3 linked regions of the Diceros bicornis minor genome follow. The protein of the gene in region 1 purifies or fractionates together with the protein of each later gene. This does not show direct contact. Links are inferred from orthologs where the notes say so. Each region holds a gene or a part of one and is shown on either strand. Other genes may lie near its edges.

Region 1 (3,478 bases):
CTCCCACCATGCTAACTGAAGTCCCTCCCAGCCTCAGCCATATCCTTTTCCTCTTGGGCATCCTCAAAGCTCCTCTGGATCCTCTCCTTTATGGGGCCTTCACCCTTGGATGCCAAAGAGGGCACCAAGAACTTAGTAAAGACTCTTCCAGGGAAAGAGGGTCTGGGAGAATGCCTCGACAGGAGACTCAAGCCCTTAGACAGCTGGAAATACAAACAAATGTGGCAGGAAGAAGAGCAGGAGAAACACAAGAGACATTCCTGTAATATCCATTTGCTCAGGACAGAGTATATAGGAAGGGAATAATTATTCTTTAATATCATGAGAACATCTCACTTCTAGCCCTGCTTTCTTAGCTTCCAAGAAAAAGAAATACTAAGCAGTCTCTTTCTTTTAACCCTAGCTGAGACTTGAAACTATGTCTAATGTAGAAACTCACACAGAATTCAGTTCCTGGGAGAAGTATCTTCACAGTAACCCACACTGCCTTACTCTAAATAGTGCTTCAGAGCTTCCAATGTTAGAATAGGAAAAAAACTTTAAATGTAGAAAACAAAAATGGGACATTTATTCATAACTCAAACACTAAGCAGGTAGGGTAAGAGATTAAATATAAACATAGTGAGTTCCACCCCGGCTCTCTTTCTCCAAGGTTGCGTGGTCAAATGGAATCTCTGGAGAAACCACCTCGACAACAGAGATCTTGTCAGCGACGCCTCCGGTCTGGACTCCTGCTGCGTCTTCGGCCACCTCTAGGGAAAAGGAAGGGGGAGGTCCATCAGAGGGACATAATACAAAGTCCTTAATCGGTTTCCTTCATATTCCCTTTAGCAAGATAGTGTTTGCCCGCTCCACTTTACCTCCTCTTGCCCTTGGGCGGACCCCGGACAAAACACCAGTCCACGCTGATTGGCTGTCCCATCAAATCCTGGCCATTGAGTCCCTCCATAGCAGCCTGGGCCTCCTTGTATGTTTCATACTCAACTAGAGTATATCCCTGGGGCAAGGGAAAAGACAGATATCAGAACCCTCCTATTCCACCAAACATCCCTGAGTATCTTCAAATACTAAATTTTTCTTCAAATCTAAATTCATACTCAAATAGAAAAATCTATAAACTTTAAACAATGAATGTACATCATATATCCCTACTGTATACACACCGTGTCTGTTTCTGTCTGTCTCTTTGCTGTGTCTAACAAAATCAATTTCCAATGTCATTTTATTTCAACTTTGCTTTTGGTCAACCACAGCAAACAAGAACTACCAATGATGTCTAAGGGTTATGGAGGAAGACAGGCAAAAGAGTGTTACTTAGGATACCTTCAGGTATCCTGTACGCCTGTCCAAGTTGAGGTGGATGTTTTTTATTTCGCCATACTCTGCAAATTTGTCATGGATGTCTTCTTCAGTGGCTTCCTCATGGACTCCAGTGACAAAGAGAATCCAGCCTTCAACAGCTGTTGGGGAAGGGACGGAGACTGTTTGAGAACATGAGAGAAAAACTTCAAACAAGATCACAGGAGTAGAGTGAGTGCACGGACTGCAGAGAATGGTTAAGCTATCTCTGACCCCATTTCTACTGGGTTTTATTTTATTGGTTCCTGATTCTCTACAAACACAGATCCCTACAGGCTCCATGTTACTTACAGCGTTGTGGGCCGGGTTCATCACCATCTTGCTCCACGCTGTCATAATCCTCACGCATCCGCGCTCGAGACCCCTCTTCTATAAGGAACATACACGAGATCACCGGAAATTCTCCTTCTCCCACTGCTTCCCATGAGTCTGAACGGGAACTCCAAAACTCGTAGCTCTCGCCATTCTAGACCCCATTTTTCCCACACACACTCACCGGAGCCAAAGCCGCGGCCCTTCCGTTTCTTCGCTTTTTCTTTTAGTTTGTGGATGCTCTCTGGAACCCCAGAAATGAAAGAATGAATAACAAAGACAACAGTTATTTATAACAATAGTCTCTTTGTCCCAAGACAGTATCTGAAAGCAGACCCCACCACCTCCAGTCCCAGTCCCTTCCCGGTCCCGCCCCCATTCCTCTCGAGGGGGGCGGAGTCTCTAATCCAACCGAAACCCAGTTCCCCGGCTCCCATCTTCCCTGCTGGGGAAGAGGGAGATTGTGTTTTCCTGTTAACGCCCTTCTCTCGCACCTTCCCCGCTTCCCGCAGCCGCCTCCACTGTCCTCACCGTCCCCATCCTCATCCATGGCGAAATCCTCGCCGCCAGCCTCATGAAGATCCAGCACATCCGCCATCTTGCCTTCGTTGTAACTCTCGTCCGTGCCGCTCAGGCACTAGGCACCTCGGGAAACTGTCGCGGAGACGAAAGGTCGCCAGTCAAGTTGACCAATGAAAAGCTAACTCTAAGTCCGGCCCCCGGCGCGTTGAAAATACGCAAATAGAGGCGGGCCTAGTTCGGGAAGCTGCCGGAAGTGTATCTGTAGCCATCTTGAGCAGGTCGTGAGCTGAAAGCAGCAGCCCTGTGAGGGACAAGCTCGGGGGTGGGCAAGTCTGCGGATTTCTCGACTAGGACAGCCAACGAGAAATAGTACTGACAATGAAGCCCAGCCTAATTTCCTTATTAGAGGGTTGCTTTCCGTCTCTTTTCACCACACCATTCTAGGAAATTGAAGTTTAAGAAAGTTTTTCTGTCAAAACTTCCAGGCCTTTACGTGTTCCGAGGAGCAGCCGCATCTGTGATGGAAGCATTTTAAAAAAATAGTTCAGTCAGCAATGCTGGCTCAAAAAGCTGCCTCTGGAACCTACGGCAGTACCGAATTTCTCTCTTAAGGAAACTAACAGACCTAGTTGTGCGTGAAACCATTGGTGAACAGATAACTTTCTTTTTTTTGTTGTTAAATTCCGAAACTCTTCCCACTGTCTCTGGGAATTAAAAAATAGTCATGGCTTTAAACAGAATAGGGGCTTTAAAGTTTCTCTGGTGGTGGTACAGGTATTTCACGTTTAAAAACCTAGGCATTGAGGCTGTGGGAGATCAAGATTTGGCCACCCTGAAATATATCTCTTTACCTTGATTGTTTTCTCTGGGGGACATTTGACCTCCCCCAGTAACTGCCTAAAGAATTTGACATGGTGGCTCCTTCCTGGAACAGATCTTATATCATGATGGCTATAAAGATGATGTAGGATAGAGGTTACAATAGCAAAGGCACCAAGTCTCTTTTATCAAAAAACTCTGTCTCTCCCTGACCACGTTATCTATAGATGACCATGTTATCTATAAATGACCCAGAAAAGAATTGTCCTCCTGCCCTCTGAAGTCCTAGGCCACTACCCACCCCCAACATGCTCCTCGCCTTTAGCTGCAATACTTAAGCAAGCAGCTTAGACAGAGGGACGAGTTGCTCATTTCTGAGTTTCTCCCATGTATACATGTTATTAAACTTGGTATTATTTTCTCCTGCTAACTTGTCTTGTTGATTATTTGGCCAGCCATAGGAACC
Region 2 (3,748 bases), on another chromosome or scaffold:
CTAAACAAGCCTGATTTATGGCCTATGAAACATACATTGTACATACACTTTAACCATTAAAGAACATCCTCTCTTAAGAATGCTTACCTCCCCTCCTACGCCCTATTGGTAATGCGGATTAGTCCCTTTCCCCAACATCAGGGTCATGTTGACCTGCTAATTTGCAACTGAATGCCTCTTTGAAATTTTATCCTGGGCATGTTTAATGTATGTTTTTTGTCCTAAAAAGGTGTAAGACTGTACTGAAAACCACTCTTCTCCAGAACGCTTTCTTACTTTCTGGAAAAGGCCCTCCTGGGTTATAATCCTTATTGGTTATTTTGCATCCACACTTTGAGAACAATAAATATCTGTAACTGTTTTATTAAGCACGTGTATGTAACTCGCAGGACTATTCGGCCAAATAGCCAGCTCTCTGTGGGAAGCAGGTTCAGCCCTGTGTGGGAGATCAAGATTTGGCCACCCTGAAATCTCTCTCTTTACCTTGGTTGTTTTCTCTGAGGACATTTGACCTCCCCCACTAACTGCCTAAAGAATTTGACATAGTATCAAACTCTTTGATACTGGAACAGATCTTCTATCTGATGGCTGTAATATAATGTAAAATAGATGTTACAATAGAAAAGGCATCAACAAGCCCATATTATGTCTCTCTGGCCACATTCTCTGGATGGCCCTGCGAGGAGTTGCCAGACAAACATTTACATTTATAAGGGAAATCTCCATTTGTAAAGGGATCTCCCTCTCTGTTTTGGGAAGAGGGGGGATGGCCTCATTTCTAGAGACTTATCACTATGGAAGGTGAGGCCTTAAATCTGCATAATAACCTCACTCTTGTTTACTGGGCTTTAGTGATAATCTTCTGTAACTGACTCCCCCCCCCCAACATCCTCCTTTGTCATTGGCTGAACATGGTATTTAAGACTAGAATTTCTGCTATTGTGTTGAGAAACGCAGCGTCCCTGCTTTCTCCCACGTATACATTGTTATTAAACTTGGTATTATTTTCTCCTGCTAACCTGTCTTATTAATTATTTGGCCAGCCATAAGAACCTAAGGCAAAGGGCAGAGGGAGATTCTCCCTCTCTCCCAACACCTGCAAAGGCTGTTGCTTGAGCCAATCGTCCCCTGGGCCAGAATGTCCTGCTGACACCAAACGAACAAGACTCCAGACCCTCCGAGGTCGAGCTCCCACTTCCCAGTGACCGCACAGCTGCGCAATGTGGCGGCAGGGCTGGTGGGAGGTGCGGCTCCAGGGCCCCCATACAGAGGCCCCAGGGCGGCGGCGGAGGTCGTGGGCCAAGAGGGCGCGCGGAAAGTGGAATACCCGGGGCCAGGGGGTGGCCCAGGGGGAGGGGGCGGAGGGGAACGGAGGAGAGGGGCGGGCGCCATCCAAGCCCCAGCGGCCCAGTTCTCGCGAGGTTCCGCCCGGGCGAGAGGCGGCAGTGGCTCCGCGACCGGTACGAGATGCGCTCGGAGAAGGAGGGGGCCGGAGGCCCCAGGGCGGCTGTTGCTGCACGGCGCTCAACCGGGAGGGAGAAGGCAGCCGTCCTGGAAGTCCAGTTCCGCCGGGAGTCGCCACCGGCCGCGTCCTCCGGCTGTGGGGGTGGCGCAGGCAAACCTCGCGAGGAGAAGAAAACGGCCCTAAGCAAGGTGGGGGCGGGGCGAAGGAAGGGGCGGGGTGAGGACGGGGCGGTGCAAGCAAACCTCGCGAGAGGAAGGGGAATTCTTAGCGCGGTCAGGCGGGGCGAGGGTGGGTGCTGCGCGCCAACCTCGCGAGAGGAGGACGGTCCTCAGCAAGGTGAGGCGGGGCCGCGGGTTGGGCGGGGCGCCCTTCAGCACCGCGGACAGCGGTCGGGCAGCGCTGGCCGAGTTTTCGGCGCCCTCCGACGCGAGCTTTTCCGGCCTGGGGAGGAAGAAATGCCCTGTGGGCCTGAGCACGTTTCCCGCTGGGGCTGAGACGCTGGGCTCCCCGGCGCCTGGCAGTAGCTGTCCGCACTGCCGAGGAGCGCGGCCGCAGGGGGCACGAGCGGGGTCGGTGGCTCGGCGGCTCTGTCAGGGTCCGGTCCGGTCCAGGGAAGACGGCGGCAGCCGGGAGAGGCAGCCCGGACGGCTGGTGAGGTGTTGGAGAGGACCCGCGGTGTGGACACTGCGGACAGGAGGCGGACTTCCCCTGGGCAGTGAGGACGGTGCCCGTGGGTTTGCTCCTGCTGGTGTTCTCTGCGTGTGTCTTGCCTCCTAGTGTGGCCCACATGCAGGAGAGAGAGGAGCGGGTCTTATTTTGCAGCTCGGGCACGGACCGTACGTGTCGTGGTAGTAATGAAATGATTCCGAGGAAGAGGGGTTATGCGCAGGCTTTTCTGACCCCACGGATCCCTTTTAAATTATTCAGCCCTCATTACCCTTTTGACAGCTATGTTCTCCAGGTATTTCTTATCCTTTCCTAAAATGTGTGTTTCTGCTGGACGCCTGGTTTAGATTTTCCTTTGAGCATAAACACAGGTGACCAAGCATTCAAATAATTGAAGCTTAATACAGTGATAGTGAAACAAAACCCAGGCAGCGACCTTTCCCCAGGTGGTCATCCGGCGGCTTCCTCCCAGCCTCACCAAGGAGCAGCTGGAACAGCAGCTTCGCCCGCTGCCTGCGCACGACTCCTTCGAGTTCTTCACTGCCGATCTCAGGTGAGAAGCTGTTTACCGACGTTAAACAGCTGTGAGGTATTGTCAGTGGTGGAAATTTTTGTAGATAATAGGAGCCATCTTCGTTTCCATCTTCTTTCCCACACGTACCCAGAAATCAGTGCAGACCTTTGTTTCTAAGTTATTTCTAAGTAGGCAGATCATTAAATTCCTCTAAAACAGATTTGGAATATGCCTCTGCTGTCACTACCGTAGTCTGAAAAGAAAAACAGACAAACTAACAACATATTACTCAATTTTGGATATCAATAAACTATTTCATAGAGCTTTTTAAAGTAGATTTTATTAAGATATAACAAAGAAAAGTGAATGAATAATAGATGTATAACCTGATGAATTTTCACAAGTGAACACACCCATATAATTAACACCAGATAAAGAAACAGAATATCCCCGACCCCAGAAGCCCCCTTGTACTCCCTTCTATCACTAACACCCCGACCCTGCGCATGCCCGGTCATGTCTTTTTCAATTCCCTGTTACAGCTTGGTAATAAGATGACTCTGACAACACTGTAACACTTCCAAATTTCCCTTTTAATGACACAGAGGGAGCAGACCAGGTTAGACCTTCAACAGGTGACAGTTCACCTAGAATTTAGTGATTTTCATTATGTTTTTATCATGATCTTCATTATCATTGTTATTGTTTCTATTCTCAATATTGTGAGTTCTCAATTATGGTAGCCATAGGAACTTTCCTTTAGAATAAATGCATTTAAGTAAAAAACGTCAGTCCATTCAAAGAAAAATATCACTAAGAGGTAACTTTAGATATAGTTTAAAAACCCAACAGAAAGATGGTTTTCAAATGACTAAAGTTTAGGAAAACTGGTGCCGTTACAGGAAGACGGGCACTGGTCTCAGGTGGGATCCCAGGCCCACCTTTTAACTAACACGTCCTCTCAAGTTCCTGATTTCTCAGTGTTCTCATCTGTCACGTGGGGCTGAAAGTTCCTGCCTATGAAGGAAATCGGTAGCTGTGAGACGGGAGAAAGGCTTCGTTCTTTTGTAGACCTCGTACCATGTGCTCCAAGAAATACTCTT
Region 3 (3,748 bases), on another chromosome or scaffold:
TGCAGAACTTTCTCTTGGATGTGGTTAAGCACAGGCATCTAGGTAGGGTTATTTTATCTTTTCATGGATGTGAGAACATACAAATGCTGCCCGGATATTTTCAGGATGCATGAGAGCATCATTGTGTAAAAAGAAATTTAAATTAAATAAAAATTTTTTAATCCAGCAACAAAAGAAAAAAGGAGGTAAAGAATAATTGCTGTTCTACAAGTCTTAGGACCAAGTTCATTAAGTTCACCTGCTTATCAAAACGAATAAATAAATCATGGTCTGTCTTACCTTGGAGGTGACATCGATTCCAGTGATGAAGCTGCCAGCCTTGTTTTCATATCTTCTGCTTGTGTCCTAACACGAGGGGGAAGGGTAAGAAATGCTGATGGCAACTGAGGAAAAACTTGATAAAAGACAGCCCGACAACTGATTCCTTTTGGATAGTCATTCTTTTCAGCAATCCTTCCCCCACCCTGACAACCTCTTATTACGAGGAAGCCTGTCTCAGTGACTCCATGGTAGCAATCCACCTCTCTAACGAGAAGTCTTTCCTAGATCAGAGCCTGTCCAAAACCTTAAGTAATTCCATCTACTAAAGGTGTCCATGTAAATGAAAATCTAAAGGCTTCCACGAAAAATGTCTGGGATGAGGCACGGTCATTTGTCTCCCCAGCCCAGACTGAACAAACTCATCATGCTGGGCCACCAGGTGGAGCACAAGTCTTCACCAAAATGCAGCAAGTCCAGACTCACCTAGACCTCCTGGGGAAAACACAGTACAGGGCTGTGAAAAGAGGATGGGACTGGGAAGCCGAGGACTCGAGTGGCAGCTCTGAGGTTCACTGATTACACGACACTGTACAATTCCTTTGGCCTCTCTGGGCCTACGTTTCCTCTGTGGTGTCTGCCTACCTTCCTGACCTCTTTTACTGCTCTCCCATTTGCACTCCAGAACTTTCCGTTTCTCCAACAAAACAATCTTGTTCCCATCTCAGAGCCTTTGGGCTTACTGTTGCCCCTGCCGGGACCACTCTCTTCCAAACCTGCACACGGTTGGCTCCTGTTTGTCCTTTAGGGTTCAGCTTAAATGTCACTATTTCAGAGGACTTCCCTGACCATCCTATCCCATTCGGCTTCCTGCTCTGCACACCCTCCCTGACTTCTACATTCTCAATCTCATTAACATGTTTCGTTTTCTTCATAGCACTTATCACTATGGGAAATTATTTTTTTCCTTGTGTCCCCCAGCTGAAACATAAACTCCAGGAGGGAGTCTGATCTTGACCAAGCGCTTGGGGCTGTGCCTGGCACACAGTGGGGGATGCAACAAATGCATACTGAACTGAATGAATAAAGAGATGATAATGTCTACTTCACAAGTGCAGTGACATTTAAATGATCTAATGTGGTAAATGGTAAAACGCCACTACGTTAATTGTTGTCACCAGAGTCATTATCCTTTGCTATCTCTGTATATCATTTGTGATCCTACCTTCACCTTTTTTCATAATTTCAGTCTAAAAGCAAGACTTGCTGACATGCAGTAAAAAGTCGTTCGTGTTGGGCGAGAAATTAAGTAAATGAGAGGAGCCATGGAGGCCTGAGACCAGCCCTAAGAACCGGACAGAGGACCACCAAACCACAAGCAAAACACCTCTCACCATCCCATTGTGATAAGAGACGGACCAAGCACCACTGCTGGTTCGCTGCTGTTTTGGTTTCATTAAGGGTCAGATGCTGGGGCCCCCGGCGTAGGTGCCACACAGCAGTGGAGCTGTGCGGGGACAAGACGACCCTCGAGTCACCACAGAAACACCGAGTTTCTGCTGCTGACAAGTCCAGCCCTCCCAAGAGAAACCGCCAGTGCAATGTTTAACAGACACAGCCCCACCAGCGCTGGACCCGCAGGGAGACCTGGATGCCGGCGCCTGCCCACAGCTCCTTCTGGGCCGCTCCTGGTTCTGTTCCCGCCCGGGCTCCCCCTTTATCTCAAGCCCCAGACAATCCCCGCCCCTCCTCACCCACCCCTCGCACAGACTGGCTCCAAGGGACAGCGGAGGGGGTGTCCTCAACTGCCCCCCCAGCTCTCCCTCACCTCCTCAGCCCCTCGACACCATTTCCGGACGCCCCGGCGTCCTCTCCCCCGCTCCCCGTCTCTCCTCAAGCCCGGCGCCCCCGCCCCCGGGCGCTCGCTCGCCTCTCCCGTCTCCTGACTTCCCCCGGCCCGGGCGCCCGCCGCCTCCCCTTCCGGCCGCTCCGGCGCGGGGCAGTCTCTCGGCGACCTCCCCCTCGCCCCCCGTACCGGGATCAGTTCCTTCAGCGAGCGCCGCACCGGCACGAGCTCCAGCTCGCCCTCCTCCACCTCCATGGGCTCCGGCTCGCCACGCTCCAGACTGGACTCCGCCTCAGGCGACGGGAGCCCCAGGGCCGGCCCCGCCGGGGCCTCCGCCTTCACCGACACTCGCAGGCCCCGTACGGCCGCCATCGCCGCCCGCCGGCCGCACCACTGAGTACCCCGCCCCGCACACCAGCTGGCTAGAGCGCCGCCGCCACTGGCCACAGTGCTGCCGCCGCCGCTATCTAGAGCGTCGCCTGCTTCGGCTAGAAGGCCCCCTTCAGCGCCGCCGCCCCCTGGTGGCGGAAGGAACCCCGGACGCCTGGAGCGGGGCCTAGTGAGGAGGAGGCGGGACCGAGTGAGGACGGGGGCGGAGCCTGATGGAGGGGGCGGGGCCTGAATGAGATCGGTTTGGTCCTACGCCTCGAGCAACAGACCTGTAATAAAAGCTAACTTTAGTGAATGATCCTCACGTGCCAGTGACTGTTCCAAGCGCTTGAATCTTTACAGCAACCCTGTGAAGTAGGTCCTATTATTACAAGGAAACTGAGGCATAGAAATTTACCAAGGTGATAGGCAATTTAAGGGATAAGACCTGGATCTGAGCCTAGGCAGTCTGACTCTAAGCCCAGAACGAGCCTTGGTCTATCACCTCTGGGCAGTCTGTAGGTTTACAACGTACTTGCCTTGCCAACCTTTGACTCTTTTGAGACTCCCAATAATTGGCGCATTTTACATGGACAAAAATTGAGACTCCAAGAGGGTAGTGAGCTGCCTAAAGGCCAGAACTTGAACCCCAATTTCCTGATTCTGGAGGGCTTGTTCCACGGTAGACTCCTGAGCATGGTTTCTTGCAGACATTCCTAACAGGAGCCTGGCTGGGAGAAGGGTAGTGTCCTCTAGGCTTCCAGTGGGCACTGCTGGTCAGTTTTTGTTTTGAGTCTTGATTTTGCACCTTCCTCCTTGTGTTGCCTTGGGCTGGTTCTGAGCGTTTCTTCCCATCTGAGGAGAGCATAGGTGGAACACTAGAGTCTCTGAGGCCCTATGAGCTCTGACCATGAAAGAAGAAATAATTACAAACCAAGGAAGAGCATGATTAGCATCAGACACACCTGGGTTTTCCAGCTGCCTCTGCCTCTTACACCATGTGTGACCTTGGGCAAGCCACTTAACCCTTCAGAATCTCAGTTCCTTCATCAGTAAAATGGGACAATTATACCCACCCACAAAGGAGGTTATAAGGGTAAAATGAGATAATTACGTGTAGATACAGGATCCAACAGAAGGGGTACAGAATATCATAGTTTTTCTTAAATTTGGGCTAAATCACAGGACACACACAAGACAGACCTCTTTAGAGGGCTGGTTTTCCTTGATGAAAGGGACATAGCGTAGTTACAAAACTGGATTGAATGCATGGAA

Evidence for each region.
Region 2: the proteins of RBM8A (region 1) and UPF3A purify together in Homo sapiens (co-immunoprecipitation; 4 studies listed by BioGRID and IntAct, with this or other methods). This does not show direct contact. The link is inferred for Diceros bicornis minor from reciprocal best matches to the Homo sapiens genes RBM8A and UPF3A.
Region 3: the proteins of RBM8A (region 1) and NCBP3 purify together in Homo sapiens (co-immunoprecipitation; 3 studies listed by BioGRID and IntAct, with this or other methods). This does not show direct contact. The link is inferred for Diceros bicornis minor from reciprocal best matches to the Homo sapiens genes RBM8A and NCBP3.

What each region holds. Positions count from the first base shown.
Region 1 is NC_080743.1:53,440,073-53,443,550, forward strand, and holds RBM8A (RNA-binding protein 8A), read right to left. Parts: upstream 2,312-3,478; 5' UTR 2,270-2,311; coding exon 2,203-2,269; intron 1,916-2,202; coding exon 1,856-1,915; intron 1,729-1,855; coding exon 1,651-1,728; intron 1,461-1,650; coding exon 1,324-1,460; intron 998-1,323; coding exon 861-997; intron 753-860; coding exon 707-752; 3' UTR 545-706; downstream 1-544.
Region 2 is NC_080748.1:87,795,159-87,798,906, forward strand, and holds the start of UPF3A (regulator of nonsense transcripts 3A), read left to right. Parts: upstream 1-1,450; 5' UTR 1,451-1,467; coding exon 1,468-1,653; intron 1,654-1,888; exon of another isoform or gene 1,889-2,252; coding exon of another isoform or gene 2,253-2,426; intron 2,427-2,577; coding exon 2,578-2,684; intron 2,685-3,748. UniProt on the Homo sapiens protein: Involved in nonsense-mediated decay (NMD) of mRNAs containing premature stop codons by associating with the nuclear exon junction complex (EJC) and serving as link between the EJC core and NMD machinery.
Region 3 is NC_080757.1:13,940,292-13,944,039, reverse strand, and holds the start of NCBP3 (nuclear cap-binding protein subunit 3), read right to left. Parts: upstream 2,499-3,748; 5' UTR 2,477-2,498; coding exon 2,294-2,476; intron 346-2,293; coding exon 280-345; intron 1-279. UniProt on the Homo sapiens protein: Associates with NCBP1/CBP80 to form an alternative cap-binding complex (CBC) which plays a key role in mRNA export. NCBP3 serves as adapter protein linking the capped RNAs (m7GpppG-capped RNA) to NCBP1/CBP80.